Linked DNA regions of Saccharomyces cerevisiae S288C. The gene in region 2 interacts genetically with the main gene of each other region. Each region holds a gene or a part of one and is shown on either strand. Other genes may lie near its edges.

The links. Genes that interact genetically often act in the same process or in processes that back each other up.
Region 1: of BUB2 (region 2) and LTE1, a mutation in one rescues a mutant of the other (synthetic rescue), as found in Saccharomyces cerevisiae (7 studies listed by BioGRID, with this or other methods).
Region 3: mutations in BUB2 (region 2) and CIN8 are lethal when combined (synthetic lethality), as found in Saccharomyces cerevisiae (7 studies listed by BioGRID, with this or other methods).

Annotation. Positions count from the first base shown.
Region 1 is NC_001133.9:101,065-108,385, forward strand, and holds LTE1 (mitotic regulator LTE1), read right to left. Parts: upstream 4,809-7,321; coding exon 501-4,808; downstream 1-500. Other genes in the region: ribosome biosynthesis protein MAK16, read right to left, coding at 1-81; dolichyl-phosphate-mannose-protein mannosyltransferase PMT2, read right to left, coding at 5,208-7,321. UniProt on the Saccharomyces cerevisiae protein: GDP-GTP exchange factor for TEM1, a Ras-like protein, component of the mitotic exit network (MEN).
Region 2 is NC_001145.3:385,601-389,989, forward strand, and holds BUB2 (Bub2p), read right to left. Parts: upstream 1,422-4,389; coding exon 501-1,421; downstream 1-500. Other genes in the region: STV1 (H(+)-transporting V0 sector ATPase subunit a), read left to right, coding at 1-375; ADP/ATP carrier protein AAC1, read right to left, coding at 1,715-2,644; ferroxidase FET3, read left to right, coding at 3,222-4,389. UniProt on the Saccharomyces cerevisiae protein: Part of a checkpoint which monitors spindle integrity and prevents premature exit from mitosis. This cell-cycle arrest depends upon inhibition of the GTP-binding protein TEM1 by the BFA1/BUB2 complex.
Region 3 is NC_001137.3:36,035-42,109, forward strand, and holds CIN8 (kinesin motor protein CIN8), read right to left. Parts: upstream 3,504-6,075; coding exon 501-3,503; downstream 1-500. Other genes in the region: nitrogen permease regulating protein NPR2, read left to right, coding at 1-220; PRB1 (proteinase B), read right to left, coding at 4,012-5,919. UniProt on the Saccharomyces cerevisiae protein: Elongates the mitotic spindle by interacting with spindle microtubules to generate an outward force pushing spindle poles apart.

The DNA of each region.
Region 1 (7,321 bases), on a different chromosome or scaffold from region 2:
AAAATTTTGACCATTAGGTGCCTTAATTCTATGAGAGCAGAAACTTTGATTAATCACTTGCCAAACAATTTCGTCGGACATATCCTCGTTGTATTCTAACCGTTGTAGTTATGTACTGAAGAGAACACTGTCAAAAGAAAGAACTAAGCAATGCAATATCTGCCTCTATACCAATCACTTTTTCATTTTTTTTCAAAAGCTCATCGGAAAATTTTTCAAAAAAAAAAAAAAAAAAAAAAAAGGTTTATTACCCTACTGCATTTTGATAATCTGAACATAATGAGCTAATGAAAGCAATTCTCATTTAAAAACAAGTATTCTCTCTTATTGAAGTATGCATTATCTATCATTATAAATTCTTTTATTCTGTTCGAGTCCATGTTTTTAAAAAAAAAAAAACATGTATGTATGCTCCATCTATATATGCTCCATCTGTATATTTTATATGCAAAGTTTTTTACAAGAGGAATTTGGGAACTGGAGGAAAGTGGCACAATACCTCATGTGGATAGTTCATTAATCTCTTCTTGTGTTAATGTGCTAATATAAACACACTTACTCAGCAATTCGTGGTTAACTTTGAAAGTGTAAAACTTGGACCATTGAACCCTTTGAATGAAATTCTTGACTATTTGAACGTTCGTATCGAATTTATTGTAATTCACTACTTTATCTTCTAAGATCCAGTCTTTCTTCTCTGCGTTTGCTGATAGGTCCGAAAGATATACGACGATGAAAGGGACGCAACCCACCAGTGGATTCACAGAGTTAAGTAGATTTCTTATTGTAGAATAATTCCTGTCTAGCGAGGGAATCTTCTTTAGCTCTTCCCAAGTCAGTAAGTCGCCTGGTTCAATCAGACGCCATGCATCAGTGAATTTTTGAACAACTGAAGAACTTAAGGCTAGAATGATTTCCATCAATGTGTTAAAGTTCTGAAATGTCCTGCAGTGGTCTGCAACGTGTATAAACCTTTGAATGACATTTCTTTTCATTTTGCTGCTCTTGGTAAGAAGTATTTCTGATATAATCCAATCCACAGTTAAGTTAAATCTGGATATAGCTAAATCAATGCCAGATAAGGTCTCGTTCCTTACTAGTAGTTGCAACCAACTTATAACTTGTGGGCCTTCATGCTTCATCTTTAAATCTAATAAATCTTTCCAGTCTATTTCTCCTAAAATTTCCTTCTCTATCAAGGTCATTTGTTGCGCTACAGACAGGGAATCGTACATTAGTATAAATGGAACGTGACTTTCATTATTAGAAATCATTAATCTCGAATCGTGAATCCTGTATTGACCGATTAATTCCTGGATTTGCGCCGCTTGCACAGCAACATCAACATTAGCTGACACGTCTATTTTTTCAGGAGAGGAGGAAGTAAAGCCTTCCTTCTCGGATTGATCTGGAGTAAAGGGGATATTCATTATAGTTTGTCTCCTTCTTTCTATTAATAACGATTTTCTTTTTTCTGCGGGGCTATTTTGGAATGACGGCAAGTTGTTAAGGTTTAGCATTTCCACTTCATCTGCTAACTTGCTCGTTTTAATTCCAATAGCGTCACTACTCTTGGTGTTCTCTGGTTTTTCGGGAATTTTCTCGTATGTACCTTCCAGTTTCATTAATGCCACGGTTATTGGATCGTCATTAATTGAATCATCGAGCATATTAGCAATTTCATTTAAATTTTTCTTATTCAAGGAGCCTGTAAAAGCCGACTCAGAGTTTGCTCTCCGTGTGTTCCGGGCACTAGATGTGTCATTAATGTCGATATCGTCCATTGTCAATACACTTCCTGATATGTTACTATTAGTTTCACTCTCGTTCTTCAGAAATTTACTTTTCAGCTCTTCAACGTTTTTCATTGGAGAAGCAACGTCAATGCTACCGTCATCTGGTGAAAAAAAATACTTGTTGTTTTTCGCATGGGTACTTGGACTTTCTAGGTCATTATTGGAATCGCTTAAATCAATTGTTTTTAACTCATGCAATGAAGAAGTATTTGAGATTATATCTTGATTACCCCTTTGATATTCTTCTCTCAAATTTATTATCCTTTGGTGTGGCACTGGTAAATCTCTGGACGTTTCGAAAGTTTCAACTGTGCTACCAGTGGTAATCGAATTCAAATCACTTACAACAGATTCTATTGTGGGTGCTATGGATAATCTGATTCTATTGGTTTCACTCACGCTGGTCCCGTTGGGAAATTCTCTCTGTGGATTTTGAGTTTGTTTTAGAGGACTATTCTGAGCAGATTCAAAAAGCTTGCTCGTTGAGATACTGATAACGGTGGACGATGTATCAGAGTACAACGCGCTTTTTTTATTATATTCCAGGTTGAGAGGTTCTATTTCACTTATTTCCTCTATAACTGAGTTTGACTTGTTTTGCTCAGGATCTACTATGGATAACTCTTTGGTTGGTGTTATGGCAATGCTTTGAACTCTTGAAATGCTGATCCTTCCACTAGCCGGTCTTACAACTGCTTGTTTGATCTTGTGATTGCAAGATGAATGTTTTTTTCTTGTAGTTATATCATAATTATTGGCTTCTGATGATGCATCGAGTGAGTTGTCCAGCTTTTTTGTGCTCTCATATTCTGATTCCTGATTTTCTTTGTTATCATAATTCTTTTCAAGGCCATCTATAGTACTCTTTTTCTCATCTAAAGACTTGGTATCTTCAAATGTAAACTCTCTTAGATTTAAAAATCCAGTTTTTGTTTTTAGAGTTGGACTATCTGTATTATTCACGATGTTTCTGACTTTTCTTGACTTTTTCGTTACAGTATCTCTGGGTGGAGAGCTGGATGACAACTCGGAATCGTATGAGTATGTTATTGATTCTGTGTCTTCCCTACTATCGTTTAAGGGAGACGATTCTTTAAGATCAGGTAGAACATTTTTCAGAGGCGAAGAAGTCATGCTTTTTTGGGATTGGGAATGATTTTTCCTCCTTGGTGTCATATTTGTAATCGCTTCTGAGTTGGTTTTATCAGTTTCATGGAATAACAATCTTTGAGGTCCATTCTCGTCTGTACGTGAAGAACTATTATCTTTATCAAAGAGCCTCATACTTTCTGCTGAGTAGCTACCGTGCATTTTATTGTAATATGCTGTCGTGAGACTTTTTACTTTCCTTCGTTGCAGTGCATCATACGAGGGTGATGGCTGCATATTCGATTCATTGTTCTGCAGTTGCTTGTTTAAAGTATTAGTTAAAGAGATGACTGACTGAGCAATTGAACTTACGGTTTGATACAGATCCAAATTGTCCATAGCGCTAAAATTATCATTACTCGGTTTAAAGCTATTTTGTTGTAAAATCTTTATATCATGTATGTGTTCCCGACGTTCACAATCAACATTAACTGTAGGACCTCGGTTGTTATTCGAATGTGTTTGAACTTTTTCTATCAGCTGGTTTTGTAAATGCAGTAGGGACTCCACTTCATCTATGGTTCTTGCACTTAGGATGTCAAATTTAGAAGAATCAGAGTTAAGAAACTCTTCCTCTTCTTCCTTGGAAGATTTTCTATTGAGAGATGATATTGATACAACGTATTTGACAAACGCATCCATTTCAGGTTTCTGGTTTGCTGGTTTAATAGCACTCATAAATTTTTTATCATTACTGCTATCATGGCGATTATGGTTTTTCATCCACTTAGCTAAAAGACCAATAGCGCTGCGATGTAACACAGACATTGAAGATGTATTAGATCTACTATTACTGTTGCTATTGTTATCTAGAGATGATGTCGTCGATGTACCTTGAAGCGTTCCGCTTTGTTCATTTAAATCTTCAGGAATATATAAGGAATTCAGAATAAATTCAACTTTTTTAGCCGGTGTTGGAGGCATTATTTTATCGACTGCATATGATGACGGGTAGTCTACGCCTTTCATTAGTGTGGATACTAGAGTGACTTTTGACAAGTGGCTGATCTTTTGTTTACTATCTGACATGTCCTCGCTTTCATTATCAACTGAAGGTTCTTTCGCTATTCGGTGCTTCGAGTAAACATTTGATGTATTATCGGGAAATAAAAGCATAGAAGGGCTTCTCTGGTTTTTGGAAGAATTTGAAGACTGTAGCTTCTCCGGCAGTCTAAATACATCAGAAGTTTTATATAATGATAAAACGCTTTGGTTACGAAAATCAGGACTGGCAAAACTTTGCCTGGCGTAAATGCTCAGTCGGCTTCCTCTTTTGTGTAGGCTTTCTAGTTGCGTGAAATCCTTTAACGAATAATGCAGCCATGCATCAAAGTCTAATTTATCAGGTTCATTTAGTTCAATATTCTCCCAAACCAACTTAGAACAATGCACCCAGTTTTTTTTCAGATTGATTATACAGCTGGAAATTATTTTTGGGTACTGTTCAATGTGTTTGTCGTTTAGAAACTCGATCAACCGAAGTCTTAATGTTATGTTCGGTAAAAAATCTTGCACAAAATAATTCAGTATGGAATGCCTCAACAACACAAACGTCCTCACGAGGGCAACTTCACCAATTCGCCTTCTCTTAGCTTTTGCAGCATTTGTTGTGATCTCCCTAATACACCATCGAAATCTATAGATGAGTAAGTCGTGTAAGTCTTGAGGCGTTATAAAATTCCTATAAATAAGGAAAAAATCTGCAGATGCGTTGTAGTCTACACCTTCCAAAGGGGAAGAAAGGTGTACAATTAACGCGGGCAGGTCTGCACTATTCACTGGTTTGGATACACAATCGCTTTCATAGCTAATAACATTTGAGGATGGAGTCGGGTAGTAATCTTTCTGGCTAAATATTTCCATGGTTCAGGGTAGCGAATCTTTGAATGGCTAGAGGCTATGTAAAGCAAACAAAAAGGTTCGCGTAAATCAACGAGCGAATAACACGAGTACGGTTGGGGTGGGCTAAAGGGTTCAAGAAATTATCAGTTTCTGTTTACAGTTTTTTTTTCATTGTTGATAAAAAGATCAAGAATTTCATTATTCGCGAAAATCAAAATGCAGAAAGGAAAAAATAGAAGGGTAATAAAACAGCATCGGATCGCAAAGATGAGTAAGGAGAACAGCCTGGTTAACAATTAAAGAGTGTTTATCGAAATTCATTATATAGTGGTTTATATAGACCACTTCTTCTGCTGGTTGATATAGAAATTTTATTTAATTCTTGTTTTTTACTTATGTACTTACTACGATGATCTTAATTCATGCTTCTTGCTTGTCGGCAATGTCCCAAGTGGAAAACCAGTTTAAGTAGCGGAAGTTACTACTTGGTCCCTCCATACCAAATGATATTGGGGAGAAGTACCAGAAGCAACCAATTACAAGTGCCATGAATCCGGCGTATAGGACGAACCGCATGATACGGCCGCACTTAGATCTGGACCATTTTTGCAAACCGGCGTCGAAACAGTACGCCAAAATGATCAGTGCAAAATACAAGGCAGGCAAGTAATGATGAACGTAGGTGACTCTAGACATGATAACGAATGGCATGTAGTGTAGGCCCCAAGCTAGTAGTGGGTAGAACCCGCCCATTAAGAAAACGTTCCAGTTAGATGGATTTCTTAGGTCCACATATTGTCTTTGCCATCTGATCAGTAAGATAACGACCGTGGCCATGAATGCGAGGACGGCAACACTAGAAGCCCACGTGGAAGCTGGGGTACCCAATAGGAAGTATTTTGGATTATCATCACCCCAGCCACATAGTCTCAAACCCACATTCAAAGTTGGCCATTGCCATGCTGAGGAAGCTAAGTAATCAAATTTGTCTGGATCTGGCACCAAAGCGTTATTAGTGGCCATCATGGCTAGATTTAAATGAATGAAGTCTTTTAAGAAGTTGGTCTTTGGGTATTGAAAATCTTCGGGTCTTGGTGGCAACCTTTCATTTTCGTGGGTCTCGATGTTCCACCAGGTCCTCTTGTCCCTCTTGAATGGGTTTTTCATGCAGACAACCTCTTGTTGTCTGAAACCCCATTCGGGCAAACTGTTACCGGTTTGAGCCAAGTAACAGCCCATCTCCAAGTTCTTGATACGGAAAGAGGTGGTCAATGTGTGCAACTTCTCAGGGTCTTCATCTCCTCTTTGGTCCATGATCTCAATAACCCAATTGTCTTTGTTGTCACCAACAACATTGTCACCGTAACCAGAAACCTCCCATTGTGTCTTTGACACTGGTGCAGCAACTGGGTGGGTGTGCAAGTTTCTGCCCGTGCTTTTGTGTACCAATCTATAGGAGGTACCTGGCTTCAAATACTCGATGTCAGTTTCGTTTTCTGACCATGATGGTAAGCCTCTTTCTCTGTTGAAAAACCATTCGTTGTTAGCATCTTTGTAACCATAACAGGTTACTTGTTGTTGGTTGGACCCATCTGGATAAGTTTGTATATGTGAGTGCAATAGAGATCCTCCAAGAGCTTGGTTTTTGATGGAAACAACGGAGGAACCTAGAGCAATGTCACGGGGGCCTTGTCCGACGTCAGAACCCACTAATCTTGCTTGGAAAAGAGATGGCATGTTAGCATCACCTGTACCAGAATGCGATAATAGGTCAAAATGTATTTTGAAGCACAATAGGAAAATGCAGAAGGGGACGATAATAAGACCAAATATTCTTGCCAACCAGTGGTTAATATAGGTTTTCCATGACATGGATTTATCTGCCAAAAAGGTCCATAAGTCAATCACAGTATAGATACCGACCATAGTGATGATAAATAGACCCACCATTTTGACGGAAATAGTGCAACCCAAAGAAATACCAGTGATCAACAGCCATTTCCACCACTTTCTAGAGAACGGCTTGGACCTCTGGTTGTGGAACATAACAAAACTAAAGAACGATGCGACAGTGAAGAAAAGTAGCATGGAGTCCAAAAGAATGAACCTGCCCAAAGTACTATACGAGTTTTCAAACAAAACCAACACGGTCATCAGCCAAACTGTTGGTAAAGAAAATCCAATAGCTTTGGCAGTGAAGTAGGCCAATGGCACACAGAGCGCGGAAAATGACGCGTTGAACAGTCTCATTTTAACATAATCCAAATAGTCTGGGTAAATTTCCCCAGAAGGGAAGTCCCAAGAACCGTTGTAGCCTGCCAAATAACCAGACAACCCGACCAGCATTTTTCCTAGGGGAGGATGGACATCGTGGTAAAATTCGTGTCTCAAGTAATAAGAACCAAATTTACCAAAGTGCGCCTCATCCCAAACAACATGGTTGTTGATGCCGATTTTGTACATCCTGGTAAACAACGCCAATGCAGTAAAGATCACCGGCATTACAACGGATTCCAGGCGTAACAGTGAGCTTT
Region 2 (4,389 bases):
AATTTCGGCGATGTCATGATTCATCAGGTAATCCATACTATTGAATTCTGTTTAAATTGTATCTCTCATACAGCATCATATCTACGTCTTTGGGCACTATCGTTGGCGCATGCGCAATTATCTAGTGTTTTATGGGATATGACAATTTCAAACGCTTTCAGTTCTAAAAACTCAGGGTCGCCTTTGGCTGTCATGAAGGTGGTTTTCTTATTTGCTATGTGGTTTGTTTTAACCGTTTGTATCCTAGTTTTCATGGAAGGTACTTCCGCAATGTTGCATGCGCTACGTTTGCATTGGGTGGAGGCAATGTCCAAATTTTTTGAAGGTGAAGGATATGCGTACGAGCCATTTTCATTTCGTGCAATAATAGAATAATAACCTTAAATTACTGTAAATTTTCTCATCTACCCACTGCTTTTTTCGTTTTATTTTTTTTTACACATACAGACATATAAACGTTGTAGAATTAAACGATAAAATATAATATTTCTTCACATAGTTTACGGTATATATATGTCTGGGTCGGTCAAGTGGTCTACCAATAGGTCATAAATTTGAGCAGGGATCTTAGCGATGAACCCGACGCCCAGCCGAATGATCTCGTCAGCATCAAAATCCGGAAACTGTCGTAGTAAATTAACAGGGGAATCCGATTTGAAAACCTTGGATCTCATTTTAACTAGGAATGCCACCACAAAGAGAATATTCATATGGAATCCATATGCAAACATGAAATCCCACAGTTTAATGACCTGATCAAGCGGTTTATTGCAGCTGGATAACGTGAGTATGGAAGGCATACCATAAATCTCTGCTGTAAGTAAATTGTCCGATAGAAATTTACTCAGCTTTGGATCAATGATTCTGAGAGAAATATCTAGTAGTTTGGCGCCGTTCTGGGCGCCGTTTAGGTTCTTAGTTAGATACGTCGGTATCATTTCATAACAAAGCTTAGTGAAAAGTTGATACGCCATAGGTTCAGAAGGACATGAGTAAAGCAGAGGAGCTAATAACACGTTCATGCCCTGCACATATGTGCTCACAGGAATGCGACCAAAACGAGTCTTTTGTCTTCTTTGTTGTGTTTGCCAAGCAAAGCACGACAGACACCGGATGAGGGCATCCTCTGAGACTCTATTTCTAAAGTTTGGATCCGTCTGAAAAGTTCTGGATGTGTCGTTCTTGATTTTTTGGTAAATGGTTGTGGAAGGTGGGCCCAGTTTCAAGAGCGCAAGGTACCGTTGTGTAGACGCCTCCATAGAAGTTTGAGAGAGCACCGTCCACACGTAACATCGCGTGCGCTGCTGCTGTTTATCTTCAGATATGGGAAGCCCTTCACTGAGTATGAGGTAGCGAAGTTGAGAGAGTGAGGAATGCAGTAGCAGGGGAGGATTTGATATCAGATCTTCAATTGAGGTCATGCAAAAGTTAACAAGTTTAAAAGTCTGTTGTTTCTTTTACCTTTACGTCGTTACTATTATTACTATTATTATCATTTTTTTTTTTTTTTTTTTCAATGTTTAGCTTGGCGTACGTAAACGGTTCCCTTCCGCACGGCGTTTACTGAATTGTCAGGACATAAATTCAAAGAAGAAAGAAGACCTCCAGTGTCATTATAGCATAAGACAGGTATGTAGCAAGAATGAATATGTAAATAAATAGCAAGAATATGTAGAATTTTTAGATTTTATTCGTTTGTTGTTTTCTTTTTTTTTCACTTGAATTTTTTGCCAAACATTATGAGTTGCAACTGATCGTACAATGAGATGACACCAGCTGCAGCGACTCCTCTAAATATGTTGGCACCACAGCCCTTGAACAAGGAATACGCGCCCTCTTTCTGAACAATCTTTCTCAAACAGTCCAGAGCACCGTCGTACTTGATGGTCTGGCCCGAAGTCATCATCATCCTTCTTCTTACCGTATCCAAGGGATACGACGCAGTGGAAGCACCCATGGTAATGACCCAACCTAATAGGAAAGAGGCAACAAAGGACCCCTCTAGAGCCCCCGTCAACAGCACAGGCTTGAAAGAATCGTACAAGCCAAAGTACAGACCTCTGTAGACAATGATACCCAGAACTGAGGGCACAAACCCACGGTACAGACCCAACAACCCGTCCGTTTTCAGTGTCTTCTTATACACGTCTAGCAATCCATTAAACTGTCTTTGCGAGGTTGACTTAGAACCCCTAGCATCCGCTGCAAGCCGCGTCCTTGCGTAGTCCAAGGAATATACAAATAGAAGCGACAAACCACCAGCCGCTCCACCAGAGAAAAGATTTCCAGCAAACCACTTGGCATACCCATCGCGCTCTCTGTCGTAACTCAACAACGACTTAATTTTGTCTTTGAAGGCAAAATTCAGCGCCTGCGTGGGGAAATACCGGAGAACATTGGCGGTGTTACCCCTCCAGAACGACACAATACCTTCATGAGTCGCAGTCCTCTTGAAGCAATCTAAAATTCCCTTGTACCGTGTATCCAACGAGCCCTGTTTAAGCATCTCTTCTTGATTCTGCATCAACAGTTTCACCCGTTCAATGGGAGCGGCACCCGTCTTCGCAATGGCAGCAGAAACGCCGCCCATAAGGAAGTCCACACCGAAGTGTGACTGCTGAGTCTGTGTTTCTGTGTGAGACATTACTGCTGTAAAAAGGAAAAATAGAAAAGAATAACAGATACGAGAATCTGTGCTGCCTTCTTTGCGATAATGCCTTGGCTTGCCTATTTCACGGTTACAGGAATAATAACATGTTCATACCGTTTCAGGACCAATAAATGGTCTTCTGCGAGAGAAAAAGGACACTCTCCGTCCGACAGAAATAAGCTTTACTTTCCGGGTGCGAATCAGCCCGTTGCGCCTGGGGTGGTCCCTACAGTACGCTGAGTCGCCGATAAAGACCCTCCGCCTAGAGCTAGGCGAGGCTGACTTAGGCAGGCCCAACAGGCAAGGCCCATCTTCAAAAGTGCACCCATTTGCAGGTGCTCTTATTCTCGCCAATTGCGACAGAAAATGAAGGATGCACTCAAACAGTCGATCCTTCGAGGGAGTATGCCAAGGCCTCGTGCATGTAGTGCGATTATATATATATATATATATATATATATATGTATGTAAGCAGGCCATGCCCTATAGCTCTTGTTCTATAAGCGATGGATAGGCATAGGAAACGAAGAGGACCCCAGTGTAAGGAAGAGTAGCAAAAAATTAGAACTAGATGACTAACGCTTTGCTCTCTATAGCCGTTTTGCTTTTCTCGATGCTCTCGCTAGCACAAGCGGAGACGCACACGTTTAATTGGACCACTGGCTGGGACTACAGGAACGTTGATGGGCTAAAGAGCCGTCCCGTGATCACCTGTAATGGCCAGTTCCCATGGCCAGATATAACGGTCAACAAAGGTGACCGTGTGCAGATTTACTTGACCAACGGAATGAACAACACCAATACTTCTATGCATTTCCACGGTCTCTTCCAAAACGGAACCGCCTCTATGGACGGTGTGCCCTTCTTGACGCAATGTCCAATTGCGCCAGGCAGTACTATGCTTTACAATTTCACGGTGGACTACAATGTAGGCACCTACTGGTACCATTCACACACGGACGGTCAATATGAAGACGGGATGAAAGGTCTTTTCATCATCAAGGATGATAGCTTCCCCTACGATTACGATGAGGAACTTTCTTTATCGCTTAGTGAGTGGTACCACGACTTGGTCACGGACTTGACGAAGTCGTTCATGAGTGTTTATAATCCGACAGGTGCTGAGCCCATCCCACAGAACTTGATTGTTAACAACACGATGAATCTGACATGGGAAGTCCAGCCCGATACGACGTATCTTTTGAGAATTGTCAACGTGGGTGGGTTCGTTTCGCAGTACTTTTGGATCGAGGACCACGAAATGACCGTGGTCGAAATCGACGGTATCACTACCGAGAAGAACGTAACGGATATGCTTTACATCACTGTCGCTCAGAGATATACAGTCCTGGTTCACACTAAAAACGACACGGACAAAAATTTCGCCATCATGCAGAAATTTGATGACACCATGTTGGATGTCATTCCAAGTGATTTACAGCTGAATGCAACCTCTTATATGGTCTACAACAAAACCGCTGCGCTGCCCACACAAAATTACGTGGATTCAATTGATAACTTCTTGGACGATTTCTACTTGCAACCGTACGAGAAAGAAGCCATCTATGGCGAGCCAGATCATGTGATTACCGTTGACGTTGTTATGGATAACTTGAAAAACGGTGTGAATTACGCCTTCTTCAATAATATCACCTATACTGCACCAAAAGTTCCTACTTTGATGACCGTTTTGTCTTCAGGTGATCAAGCAAACAACTCCGAAATCTACGGTTCAAACA
Region 3 (6,075 bases), on a different chromosome or scaffold from region 2:
AAGACCATCAAAGGTTTCATTTGAAATGCAAAGGGTAAGTTCGTTGGCAACAGGCAAAAGTACTATGCCGAAACTCAGCGACGAAGAAGAAGGTATTCTTGAAGAGTCTATTAGGAATGCCGAAACATTTGATAAAATTTGCGTTTTACTGAGCAAGCCTAAATTAGAAGTCGAAAGCTACCTAAACGAATTAGGAGAATTTAAGGTAATTAATAGCTGAGTTAAAATTAGAGAAATTCATTGTCCATCAAAATGTTTTTTTTTTTTTTTAATATTACAACTTATTTCCGTAAATAAAGATAGTACACACGAATCCAAACGTTTATATAGTTAGCTCTGTGAAAATTTGATTTAGGTTCATCTCTTGGTGTGTTTGGTAGAGGTGGTTTCACACCCTTCTCTTCTGTCTTGCCTTCTAATGAATAACTGAGTATTCTTTACATACTTTGTTTTTATTAACCACTAGTTTGAATATATATTCGACTGAAAGGCAATATCAACTATTCAATCTTTAACATTTTTCTCGAGCCCTCATTGTCCACATTTTCACTGGATTTGTTTTCATCTTCAATTGCATGCTTTTTGGGCGATATTACACTTTGCACTGAATTGCTATTTATGTTTGATAACCTTAACGGCATTTTCTTACTTAGATTTGGTATTTCCTTCAATATGTTCTCGATCATTTCGTCTTTGGTAGCGTTTTCCTTGTTACCATAGTTTTTCATTATGTTTTCAATCGTATTATAGATATCATCCACATTAGTTATATGAGAGTGTGTTGATGTTATCGAATTTTTAATGTTATCTTTCAACATGTTATGCTTGTTAATAAGCTGCTCAAATTGATCATTAAATTTGGTATTGTTCTTCAAAAGGGATATAGCGTTCTCCGATTCTTCCACTTGTCCTTTCATGACTGAAATAGACTCATTCATCGAATTTGATGATGTATCAACAGTACTCTTGATTTGCGATAGCGTCGCTGCCATGCTATTATAGAATTCGTTATTCATGGAGTCACAATCATTTATCAGATCAAATGAATTTTCCCATTTAACGCGCTTGGGTTCAAACAGATCCATTTCTTGATCAATAACCGCGCTGGTTGCAGTTGTCAGATTCTGCATTATTAGTTTTTTATTTTCGTCAAGGTGGTCATTTAGGACCTTTTTAAAGTTCTCAACAAACTCGTTTGTTCTCTTCTCAATATTTTCATAAGTAGAATCCACATGACGATTCAGTAATTCTTGATGGTTATTCTTGAAAAAATGGTTTTTTAAGTACTGTTTCATGTTGTTATTTTCTTCGCTAATATCAGAAAGATTCTCGGCTATATTTTTATAAAATTTTTGGAAATCTACTCTTATTATGTCGATTTTCTCAATAACAACATTGAAGAATTTAGGAGATTCGTTTAAAATTTTCTTCACACAGTCTTTGTACATTAGTTCAGCTTTTTCTTGCATGGTTCTCATAAGAGTCAGTACTTCATTTTTGATCATATCAAGATTTGGTTGGATATTAGTCTCTTGAAGAATACTTTCCTGTTGCATAGTGTTTAATTGTAAAAACAGTGTAGATTTCAATTTTTTAATTTCTTTAGTAATATGCATTTCAAACTTTTGATTAAGGTCAAGTTCTCTTTTTTTGTAATCATGTAGGGCCATTTGCATTACCTCAGTCAACTTCTGTAGTTTGTTATTAAAATCGGATATTTCAATTTCAGTTTTATGCTGTTTATCTAGTTGTGCCCTTAAATGATCTATGGTAGTTTTCAATGATTCTATTTGGCAATTTTGAGATTGAATAGTTTCTTTTGACTTCAATTTATCTTTTACTAGCAATGCATTTTTCGATGTCAAACTTTCAATTTCTCTTTTACATTCTTGAACTTCATTTTTATAACTTTCTAAATCACTGTTCAAATTTTTGTAGTGATCTTGGCTCATATATATTCCTTCTTTGGACTTTGTAGAGAGTAAATCGGATTTAATCTTTGCTAATTCCATAGTTATATTTTTAACCAAAATATCCTTCATTATAAATGAACCCAGTTGCGGCTTGTTCTTAATGTTTTTAGCCTTCGAAGCATACTCTAATGTACTGCAGGTTTCTTCAGAAGTTACCTTTGCAGGCGATATAGTAGCAATTAGTGCGGTTTTCGTATTACCACCCAGGGAATCTTGAAGCAGGCGGGTCAATTTCGATTCACGGAAAGGTATATGGCCGCTTTTATCTACGAGTGCGTTTATGACCCTGCCCAGCGTCAATAGACTTTGGTTGATTGAACCAGCTTCTTTGGCACGTTGATTTAATGCTCCGGATCTGTTGATGTTTTCTGAACCAGCTAAATCCACAAGATTCATTTTGGAAATTCTAAATAGTTCATCCTGATGCTTCTTATACAAAGTGATTGTAAAAATGGTATGAGATCTACTGGAAAAATCGTTCATTTTAGTGGACGCTACTTGCCTATGCTTTAAGCCTTTTTGTAATAGGTTTAGCCCCTCCATAGCATTTGTTATGTGAAATTCTTGCAAATTCTGGATGTATATACCATTAGTTTGGTCATTTGGAGCCATCGAACTTCTTTGACCGTTATTTGTGTTGGTGTTACTAGAAGCATTATTAGTGGTAGAGCCAGAGTTAGAGGAAGAGTTGTTCCTGGAATTCACTGCCTGTTGTTGTTGATACTGTTGCTTGATGGTATTCGGCAGTGATTTTGTCCTTAACCTTTTTCTTAATAGAGCAGCTTTAGGTGTTAGATCATTTAATGACCTCGGAGAACTGTTCCTAGAATTACTCCTGGAACTACTAGCACTGTTGCTAGTGGTATTATTTGCTGTGCTTGAATCAAAAATCCTCAATTTTTTCATAAATTGGCCGTCAAAGCCAGTATTACTAGAGCCGTTGCTATTGCTGTCCAAGAGGTCCTTCAATTCTTCGTTGTAGAGTTCAATGAACGAACATTTTACTACGTAATCGTTCTGTTGTAGTTCCAATGTGTCAAACAACTTCAAAAGAACCCTCGGTATAATTCCTGCTGCATCGCTCAATTCACCATTATATAACTTTTCGTCGCCCGTCATTGTATATGTTTTACCTGTTGACGTCATACCATATACCAGTACGGTGCAATTGTAACCTTTAATGAAATCCTGGAATAATGGGCCCGCCACTTCATCAAAAATTAGATCCTGGGAAGCGCCGGGACCGAAGACTTTGTCCACTGTGTATCTCTTGGCATTCATTTGAGCAGTTATACCGGTATCTCCCGTCGTGTTAATGGAAATTTCTTTAGAACCTGTAATATCTGGAACATTTACCACAACGGAGCTTTTCATACTAATTTCCCTTTCATTCCTTCCTCTGCATCGCACAGCTACAGTGATGTTCAGTTCCTCATTAGGAACAGTGTGACATCCAACCTGAGAGTTGCCATTTTTACTGATGCTGTTGGAGCTTCTATCTTGACCCGTATTTTGGTTTTCCGCTGGCATCAAACAAATTCTTTCTTGTTGTATTTTTTGCGCTTTTATATACTTTTTATTACTTTTTCCTTTGAATTGCTTGCTTCTGTATCTATACTCAACGTTACTTTCTGGCCATACCATAAGTTCTACACCCGCTGTTGAGAAGCGGGTCACAAAGGAAGTCTTTAGATGATGTTATTGTTGCGGCCTTGTTTGTTTGTTTTGTTTATTTCGCGTACCTAATACATCGTCACCACACACGAAAACGAAAACATTTGATCAGATAAGTGATCTGCAAATAAGATATAATAAAAGTAACAGTTATTTATTTAATTAAAAACGCAAATATGTAGTAATACGTGGGACATATAAATTTCATGAATTAAAAAAAAAAAATGAAATTCAGATTGAAAATAATGGGGATATAAAAAAAGTGGACAAACGATAGTGAAGAGGGACTCCGACTTGTAACCTCGAGACGCCTAAGGAAAGAAAAAGAAAAAAAAAAGCAGCTGAAATTTTTCTAAATGAAGAATTAAATAATATTCAATTTATCAAGAATATCTCTCACTTGATCAAAGATTAAATCGGTCTTTGATCCAATGAATTCATCCATGTTCAATTCTTGCTTGAAACCAGATGAATGGGACTTTTTGGTATCATTCCAGAAAGCGGACAAATCTTGACCACCACCGTTGTAGATTAAAACATTTGGAGTGTCTTCAGGGATATCGAACAAAATGTCCTTTGTACTGTAATGAATTAGCTTCTTTTTCAATTGCTGAGGAGTCAAAGAATCCTGGCCCAATTCGAAAAATTCACTATCAGAACCTGGTTGCAAAGACAAAAAGTAGGTCAACAAACCAGCAACGTGAGGGGAAGCCATTGAGGTACCCGATAAAGTGGCGGTGGCGTCATCACTTCCAATGTAGGTGGACAAAATGTTTAAACCTGGGGCGAAAACGTCGACACACTTACCCCAGTTGGAAAAGTAGGCTCTGTCATCGCTCAACGTGGAAGCTCCGACGGTGATGGCCTTGTCAGCAGAAGCTGGGGAGGTATTACAAGCGTCTTGGTTTTCGTTACCAGCAGCCACGGCAAAGTGAATACCGACTTCAACGGCTGCATTAACAGCCAAGTCCAAAGCTGGGGACTTGCCACCACCAAGCGACATATTGGCTGTGGAACCTTTGAACCCCTTTTTCTTTTCTTGGGCTTCTTTTTGGTGCGCCTTTGCGGCATATTCGACACCTTTGACGACATCAGACATGGTACCAGACCCGTTTGATCTCAAGACTTTCACCGCAACAACGTTGGCATTTTTAGCGACACCGTAGTGTTTGGAAGCGATAGTACCGGCACAGTGGGTACCGTGGCCGTTACCGTCGAGATCTTCGTCGTTAAGTGGGATGGTTTTCCCCCAAATGGCTCTCTTTTCGAAGTCCTTGTGGTTGATGTTGACACCCGTGTCAATAACATAGGACGTGACACCGCGACCGGCATCATCATCGTAGAGATACTTGTTGAAGGACCCCAGGTTGAGGCGCTCTCTGTGGGAAATACGGGCCAACCCCCATGGGGCGCTATTTTGAGTGTCAAATTCTGTAGCCTCGACAATAGAGTCTCTCTCAACAAAGTCTACTAATGGGTTTTGACGTATCAAGTCGACAATCTCTTGGGTGAAGTAACCGATGTAACCGGAGAAAAGATTATCGATGTTGAATGAGTCCTGGATACCGCCAGCCTCAGAGGTGGACAAGGAGGTGTCTTTAGTAGAAATGAAGAAAGCGTCTTCGGCAGATAAGTTCTCTACGGATTGAAGTTGTGCCTGCTGGACGTTTTCCTTGTGGAAATCGATCTCTTCTTGAGGGGCACCTCTCTTGAAGACTATAATGTAGCGGTTGGGGATGATCTTGGAGATCGCGTCTGGGTTGAATTGTGCAGTGGACACGAGAGGAGCCAGCCTGTTGTGGTGCCTCCCTTTCTCCAACGTCTTTTCGTGGTGCTTCTTGCCCTTGACTTTCTTACCTTTCATCTTCTTCTCCTCCACCTTATTTTCGTGGCAGCCACCCTTATGGTGAGGCTTCTTCTTCTTATCATCATTATCATCATCATTGGAACTTTCATGCTTAGGCTTCATGCCCTTTCCTCCCTCGTGGGCGCTCCCATGAGAGCCACTTGCACGTTTACCGTTGAATTCCGGAGACTCCTTGTCTTGGCCCTTGCGGCCCTTCTTATGGAACTTTCCATGTTCTTTATCTTCAGAGTCAGATGGCTCCTCATCATCGTCCTTAGTGAATTCCACTTTTCTGGGTCTCTCGTGGTGATCTTCCTTGTTAATCAGTTCGTGGTGGTCGGCGGCATTTTCAAGATTTGGGATGACCAAAGCAGCAGAGATGCTCCCTAGGGCACCGAGTGTAAATAGAGTATTTTCTAACTTCATCTTTGCTTGTTAGAATTAGGTTTAGTTTGTTTTTTTATTGGCGATGAAGCTAATTGGACTCTTAAGTTTGTATGGGAAGAACTCCAATATAACGGGACGTAACATTGGCCCCCTTTTATATTCATCGCGCTCTTTATCGCGGGTGTGTTTGCCCCC